Linked DNA regions of Alligator mississippiensis. Each later gene encodes a partner of the first gene's protein in a complex. Links are inferred from orthologs where the notes say so. Each region holds a gene or a part of one and is shown on either strand. Other genes may lie near its edges.

Region 1 (3,745 bases):
GACAAGCCCTGAACAGATTACCAGAAGGACACACTTATTTGCCAAACACAGTACAGCATTCAAAGTCTCCCACTTCTCTTTAGTGTCTGCCTTGGTTCTGGATCTCAGAGACATTTATACAACCTGTCATATTACCCAGGGAATCATTCAGGACAGTCAATGCAAGTGCCCTTGGGGAAGCAAGGTAAAACTCAGCAGAGTCTGTGCCCCTAAGGAATCAGCTGTAAACAAATACCAAGGAATGTGCAAAATTGTAATCATCTGGAGACAGCGTATAGGCCATTCACAAAAGAAACTCTTTTCTCTTAAGTCTCCACCCCCAGATACAAACCATGTGACAACACGAATGGAGTAAAGGTTAGTCATTAACTGAAGGTCTGGTCTGCGCCTTCCATACTGATTCCATTTCAAGTTGACCAATTCCCACCCCCCTCAAACACAACAATAAAAATGACAGTCAATTTATGTGAGACTGAAATATAACTGGAACAATAAGTTGACTGTGATTTTTATTGTTTTTTGGAGGAAGGAAAAAAACATTGACTTAATCAGAACTATACAGTCCGATTATACAGAACAGGCAATTCAACTGAGGACTTGCAAGGGCCAAGCAAAGGACTCGCAGGCTCTACTGCCAGGAAGCACAGTAGCAAAAACTCTTCTGTCAACTTATACCATGTCTCCTCTAGGGGCTCTGCCAATATGGCTATGCCAGCACAGCTGAAGTGGCAGGAGCTCCATAATGCAATAGGCCCCAAGTATATTCAAGGAGCCTTACTACCATCACCAATTACGTTCAAGACACTCCTGAAGCAAGCGGTTGCTTATGAAAGCTTATGCATCTCTGATTTAGTCTATAAGATGCAACTCTACTCTGTCTTCTGTTCCCACATATGCCACATGAAGAGAAAGTTGCAATAACGAGGAAACAAGGTCGTCTGTACAAGTTATGCCAATGTAACCAAAGTCATTTTAAAAATAGTTGAAACAGCACAACTTGAGCCTCCGTAGAAAGATATCTTATACTAATGAGGTGCTGTAGGATGCCTACTGAAGCCAACCCCAAGACACAAAATCTCATGCCCCATCTGCTTTTCCTTTCTACCAATGTCATGCCACAGGCTGAGAATCTCTGAAGGGGGCTTTCTTAAAAGAATAAAATTAACTTGGCTCCACCAGTGCCCTAGGAGCTCAAGCACTTACAAAACTGAAGCTGGTGCACTGCACCCAACTGGTAAGAGCGTCATAGGTCAGCAGCAAATGTTTTCTTTATCCCTTAATTCAAATCCCAGCCAACATGACCCAGCAATAGTGGTCAAATTCACGCTCTCACTATCAACCTATGACAGTGACTTTAGCCCCACAGACGCCTGCACGAGCAGGGATCTCAGCCTGCTATGAACTCACTCAAAAGCAAAGAAGAGGGCACAAGTGCCAAGAATGAGGAAGAGTGTCAAGTAGAAGATGCCTTTCTGCCGGGCCATCATGATGCGACCGTCGCAACAGAAGGTGTTCCTGCCCGGCAGCTTTTCCCATTTCCGAATCACTTTCCTCCTTGCCACCATCACAGACATGGTCGCACATTCACAGGGAGGCAGGCAACCAAGCAACGTCCAGGCTCTGCTCCAAACTTGTTGGTACACACAGCATCCTCAGAGTCCAGGCATCATTTGCTAAAGAAACTGGGAAGACAAGAATGCATCAGCGTGGTCTGATAACCCCCTTGAATGTGTCAACTGAGGGAACTCTCCAAGCTGATGACAAATGGTGCTCCCTCCTTCCCACCAGCTCCGTTCCAGCTCCCCCATACACAAGACGCACAGAGGGGGAAAGCAGGCAGTCTGGGACTGCTTGCCTGCATGGGAGTATTCCTGGCACCCCACTGTTGCCCCATGCTAGTGCCTCGTTCAAGCTCAGGACTCAGGGGCCACAGCCTGCAACTCCCAGGGCAGGGCTGCACTGGCCTCAGCGTGGCTGAGGGGAAGCAAGTCACACGGGAGTGAAGCTGCTGGAGAAGGGTCACACAGGAAGCCTGTGAGTGGAGTTCCGGCCGGAGGGGCTGCCCGTGCCTCAGCCCCGCTCTCTGCCGGCCCTGGCGTGGGGTCGGGGCCCGGGCTCAGCCTCCAGAAGCCGCGACACCGGCAAGGGAAGAGCCTGCATCTCACCGCTCCCCCTCGGGAGCCAGCAGTGGAGCGCAGCAGCCCACCCGCCCCGAGTCCGGGCTCCGAGCGGCCTGGGCAGGAGGCGCGTCCCGAGCCAGGCGCCGCGCCGAGCGCGAGGAGCCGCGGGCCTTGCACAAAGGGCGGCCGGGGAGGCTCCGCTCCCGCCTCCCGCGCCCCGACCGGCCCGGGGGGCGCACAAAGGCCCCGAGCGCAGCGCGGCACGGACCAGGACCCACCCCCACGGCGGCGGCCGCACGTGCCAAGGACAATGCCCGCCGCCCCAGGCCGGGCCGGGCCGGGCCGGGCCCGCCGCACTCCAGCACACGGCGCTGCCCGGCCCCGGTCCCGACTCGCGGCGCGGCCCGACCCGGCCCGGCCCAGCCCGGCCTCTTACCTGTCGGTGCCTGCCTCTGCCCCGGGCGAGGCCGGGCGGGCCGCTCGCCGCCGCTGGGCTGCGGGTGGGAACTGGGAGCGCCCCGCCCCGCATGGCTGAGGAAGGAGGGGTAGCAGTTCCCATTGGTCCGGCCGGGACGAGGCTCCGCCCAGGAGCCTTTTGGCGCAGTCTATTGGCTAAGGGGCCTGTCACTCCCGCGCCCCAGGCTCGCAGCCGCCCAGAGGGCGGGGCCGGAGGGAGCCTACGTCCGGGGCCCGGCCCGGGTCTTCCTCCAACTGCTCTGCTCGCCCCGCCCCGCCCCGCCCCCGGTCGCAGGCTTTGCCTTAGCGGCTCTGGGTGGGGAAAGGGGGTTTCTCTCCTCTTGCTCCCCCGAAGGCTGCCCGGAGAGAGGCTGCAGCCCCCAGCCCACACGCAGCGTCATCGTTTTCTGGGGGACACGTCCTCTCCGCCCCATGGGAAGGGTCTCCCTGCCTAGAGGATGACCTGACCGCTTCCAAGGAGCCCCTGCAGGCCCAGTCCCTTCTGCCGCCTTCATGTCAGCTGGGCGCGTGTCAGAGCCCGCGCGCACGTTTGCACCCGACCCAGCCCTCGCCTGCCATGTCTAACCCCACCAGGTCAACACACGCCCAGAGGCCACAGAAGGGCAAGCAGGATCCTCATGGTGCTTGGAGCAGCGCATGCCCCTCTGCCTAAGGCTGAGGTGCTGTCCTAGTGAGCCAGGGTCAGAGTCATGCCAGGCTAGGGTACACCAGGCTCCCTGTACTCAAGATGACATGGTGACAACACTTGTCCACGACCTAGCCAAGCCCAACAGTATGGTAGATCCTGGACAAAGGGTGTAAAATGGAAGCTTAATTCAATGTTTTGAGGCACAAGCTTAATTTCTGGTTCTGGCAATGCCAGCTAATTGTACAGTTTGAGGCCTTGAACAAAGCATGGGACAGAGGGCATCTTTCTCATAAATTTAGTCAAAATGTGGCTTGGAGCAACATCCTGTAATCAAAATGTTGTGTTGTGCGGTACAACCTCCCGCACTCCCATCAAGGTTCTCTTTGCACATTCTGAGAGCAGCTGAAAAGGCCAGGCGCTTTCTCTTTCCACTCACCACAGCATGCAGTCAAATACACAGGCACTTCAGCTTGGTCTCAGGCATGCTAAGGAGTGCACTCTACTTGGGTACTATATCCAT
Region 2 (3,745 bases), on another chromosome or scaffold:
TGAGCTGGAAATGTAGATGATATATGTACACATAAGTATCTTGGTTTTAAGTGAACAGACTACATGTGTTCTGTGACTAGGGATCCAATACAGCCCCTGCACTGGCCTTGACTGAGTGACTTTTTGTACTAGAATCAGTGGAATGAAGCTTCCCAGGTCTTGCCCATACTGAACACTATTCTTTCAGGCTAGTAAGAACCCCTCCCAACTTCTCAGCTCAGGAAGCTTTTTCTGTCCAAAGTCTTTGGTTTCTTATCTCTGAATTGGGCACATCTCCACTTTCTTCAAAGAATAAATGGAAGCAAGCCAGACAGATATCCAGCTCAGATCCCATTTGCATCTCCGCCAAGCCCCCAGGAAGGGAAACTGGAGATGCCCTCTCCCTCACCTCAGTCCATTACGAGGATCACAAAATGACTGCATGACTGATTCCCCATAAAGAATTCCTGCAAATCACCCAGCCTGTACAAGGGACACCATAGGCCAGGTATATTTAATCAAACATAAGTTTTCATGAGTGAACTGTCAGGTGAGAGTTTCAGTGTGACACTGTGTATTTAGATAAAAAGTGAGTAAAATGGAAAAATGATCACAGCATGAAATCCGCCCTTTATGTGGAGAGTCAAACAGAATCTATTTCATACGTAACAGTTGAGCAAGAGGGGAGCAGATCTGACACACAAGGAATTTCAGGAAGTCGGTCTGGCATGAGAGTTTATTTCGGCTTTGTACTAGAGACTTCACTGTGCTACTCATCACTGTAAATGAAGTAAGTCTTCAATTAATGTAGTGTTGAGTGTTGTCTTTCAGGTCATAAAGCAAATCAAACTGGCTTACCTTTTCATAATGTGTCTCCATGCACAAGAAGATAGTGTAGGCAGTCAGGCAGGCCAGACAACCTTCGAGATAAGATTGGCCCCCAAGTTTCTCGGCTTCTGCATACAGGTTATTCAGAGTTCGCACAGTCTCTTCAAACTGCTGCCGATCGATCTGCAGAAAAGTCCAAGTTCAGCAAGCATGCTCAGCAAGTGAGCTCCACTGACCTCCTGTACAGACATCCACCTCACTTTTACCTTTTACAGCTGTAACCTACACTGCCACTGAGAGACCGTTTGCTTCAAACAGGCACCGTGGAGAGAGCCACAGCTCCGTTTAGTATAAAACGGCCTCCAAAAACGGCAGCTCTTGTTCAATTTTCAGCTAAGCAATTACATCAAGAATGAATTCTACCACAACTGAAATGCTGTGCCCGCAAGCGAGCACAGATAAGAATTGGGGTCTGATGTGAAAAGAACAGATCAGAGGGAAACAGACTCGGGATTTAAACCACTATTCAATGAAAGAGCATATAGGCAAATCTCTATCTGAATAAGGCCTCAAGTATGGGGGATTGTTGCTCCAGTGCCAATCAAGCTTGTGAGTGATATAAACAAAGATGTATCAGATTTGATGTGAAAGAGAAGGCAAACGTAGCCTAAGTGATATTTGCCAACAACAAGAAATGCACAAAATATTTGACCAGGAGGAGTTACTCCACTAGTTGAAGGAAGTGTTGCAAATAACAAAACCCCGCACATTGATAGAAAATATAAGAGGGTGTTTGTGATGCTGCTGAAGCGCAGGCTCAACAGAACGGCCTTGTCAGAGGATGGGTTTCTATACAACAATACATGCCTTATTTCTCAGTGCCCCGGCTGCCCTTTGTGTTGTGACAAGGGCACAGATCAGAGAGAGAATCAAAACAGAAGGGTTTCATAATTGTTGGAAGTTAGACTTGTAGGCACATTTGTATGTCTAGATTTCTACATCACATTCAAAGTTCGGTATTTTCTAATTACTGTTTGCATAGGCAAGAAGCAAGAGTGTGGAGGGCATTTCTACTTCCCTGCCCACAGGAACCTACCCTTTATTTAACTACAAAATGTCCCTTTCAGCTAAAATCCCAAAGATCAGTTTAGGTCAATTTGAAGACAACTAATCATTTTGCAGACTTTTGTCCCCCAGGAAAGCAATGCTACCCAGCATGTAGAGGGAACAAGACTACTCGCCTTGCTCACTCAAAACAACAGCGTCAAGTAAACACAGGAGGACAGCCATCTGCTCTGGGCCATTTAGACAGGGACTATTTCATCTCGCTGCTGTCAGACAAACCGAGCCTCCCAAGCCACTTGTGTCAAAGCAGCGTGGCGTGACCTCGCACGCTCCGACACACCCGTGTCCCCAGACACTGTAGGTGCCCGGGGTGCAGGACACAGCCCTTAGCTCATACCGCAGGAGCTTTAACACCCGGGCTCTCGGCAGGCATTCGTGCCACCCTGGCGCGAGCATAGAAACGCTAAGAGCGGGGACCTCGGGGGCGACTGGAGCCGGAGGCTGAGGGTCAATCTGGCGGCTTTCGTCATGCTTTGTAACAGGGGCACTCCCACACGGCCGTGGCTTTAATTATATGTCTTTAATAAGCAGGTGCTTGGCACGAACCACTCATTCGTGAAACATGCTGTTTTCCAGGAGGAGCGAGCAGGAAGCGACAAGCAACTCGGCGGTGTCCTCCAACCTGCGACACGCACACCACTACCATTACTGTGTATGACCAACTTGGCAATTACTTTACGTGACCCAAACGTGCCGGGGGGACTTAAGGCGGTCCTATTTTAAGCCGCCATAACAGCTCCCGGGTGACAGCCCCCGGGCCGGCCTTACCCGCGTCTCCAGCTCGGCTGGGAACTTGGTCTGGAACTGGCAGCGGGTGCCGCTGCTGTAGTCGCGCTGCACGAACACCTTCCCCGACACGGGCGCCGGCTGCGGCCTCATAGCGCGGGCCTACGGGCACGGGCCGTCCGCCTGTCGCCGCCACCCCCGCGGGCCCGATCCCGGTCCCGGTCCCCGAGCCCTCCCTGCACGGGCCAAGCTTGCCCAGCCGCTGTCGCGCCGCGCGCAGCCTCACTTACGGCTGTCGCAAACGCGCCGTCACCCACCCGGGGGTGCGCATGCGTCAGTGGGGCGGGGCGGGGCGGTGGTGTGGGTGGTGCGTGCGCAGGCTTGTGGGCGCTGCCACGTGTGCGAGGCTTTGAGCCCGTCTCCTCGAGCGCCCGTCGGTTGTGGGTGCAGCATCTGCAACCCCCACAAGCCCCTCTCAGGGACTCTCAGCTTTGCTTCCTCAGGACCTCCAGATAAATGGTTCGGTTTGGATAGCCCGGTTCTGGCTCTCTCGCTTACCATGAGCAGCATACAGAAAAATACTTGTTTTACATATTTTTCGGGGTACGGTACTTTCCCCCCCCAGCAAATTACAATCATTTTTTGAGCTTTCAATGCAATCGTTTGGTATTTAAGATCTGGCCAAGCTAGGCTGGGCAGTGCAGCTGCAAGAGTGGGCCCGTGCATGGCGGCCCCCTCATGGCCCGCTTCTGTCGCACACAATGTGTTGTGGTGCAGGGTAGCAGGAGCGTGGTGACCCCCCCTTGGCACAGCACAAGGGACACAGGGGTGCGGGACTCCCCAGCAGCTGCTCCGCCGCCTCTGTCAAGCTGTGGGCAAACTGCCCAGCATCCCGGCTTGAGGCACACGGTGCTCCTGTTGCACAGGCGTGTTCTGCGCTGTTGCAGCAGGGGATGAGCAAGCACAGCTTGCAGTGCCTTCGCCTCCCCCAGCTCTGTCGCTGTCCACACGCACTGCTTTGGGGCACCACGCTGCACCCCGGTGTCCTCTGCTGCCCCACTTAATCCTGTGCCCAGAGAAGTGGGGG

The links.
Region 2: the proteins of ZDHHC9 (region 1) and GOLGA7 are in contact, whole or in part, in a cryo-EM structure (PDB 8HF3), measured with the Homo sapiens proteins. The link is inferred for Alligator mississippiensis from reciprocal best matches to the Homo sapiens genes ZDHHC9 and GOLGA7. Residues at the interface, in NP_001008223.1 of Homo sapiens: Phe78, Ala81, Arg85, Ile94, Pro95, Leu98, Asp100, Glu101, Phe104, Ile105, Phe129, Gln130, Ile131, Asn132, Ile146, Pro149, Pro150, Arg182, Tyr183, Leu186, Tyr274, Lys281, Cys284, Glu285, Leu287, Cys288, Gly289, Pro290, Leu291, Pro292; in NP_001002296.1 of Homo sapiens: Lys11, Phe13, Gln15, Tyr18, Ser19, Ser20, Gly21, Thr22, Ala57, Glu58, Leu60, Ser64, Tyr65, Gly68, Cys72, Ala75, Tyr76, Thr77, Phe79, Leu80, Tyr86, Glu87, Leu90, Ile116, Arg118, Gly119, Arg121, Val122.

What each region holds. Positions count from the first base shown.
Region 1 is NC_081831.1:39,919,379-39,923,123, forward strand, and holds the start of ZDHHC9 (palmitoyltransferase ZDHHC9), read right to left. Parts: upstream 2,647-3,745; 5' UTR 2,557-2,646; intron 1,683-2,556; 5' UTR 1,575-1,682; coding exon 1,408-1,574; intron 1-1,407. UniProt on the Homo sapiens protein: Palmitoyltransferase that catalyzes the addition of palmitate onto various protein substrates, such as ADRB2, GSDMD, HRAS, NRAS and CGAS. The ZDHHC9-GOLGA7 complex is a palmitoyltransferase specific for HRAS and NRAS.
Region 2 is NC_081830.1:17,408,193-17,411,937, forward strand, and holds the start of GOLGA7 (golgin subfamily A member 7), read right to left. Parts: upstream 2,938-3,745; 5' UTR 2,812-2,937; coding exon 2,701-2,811; intron 991-2,700; coding exon 838-990; intron 1-837. UniProt on the Homo sapiens protein: May be involved in protein transport from Golgi to cell surface. The ZDHHC9-GOLGA7 complex is a palmitoyltransferase specific for HRAS and NRAS.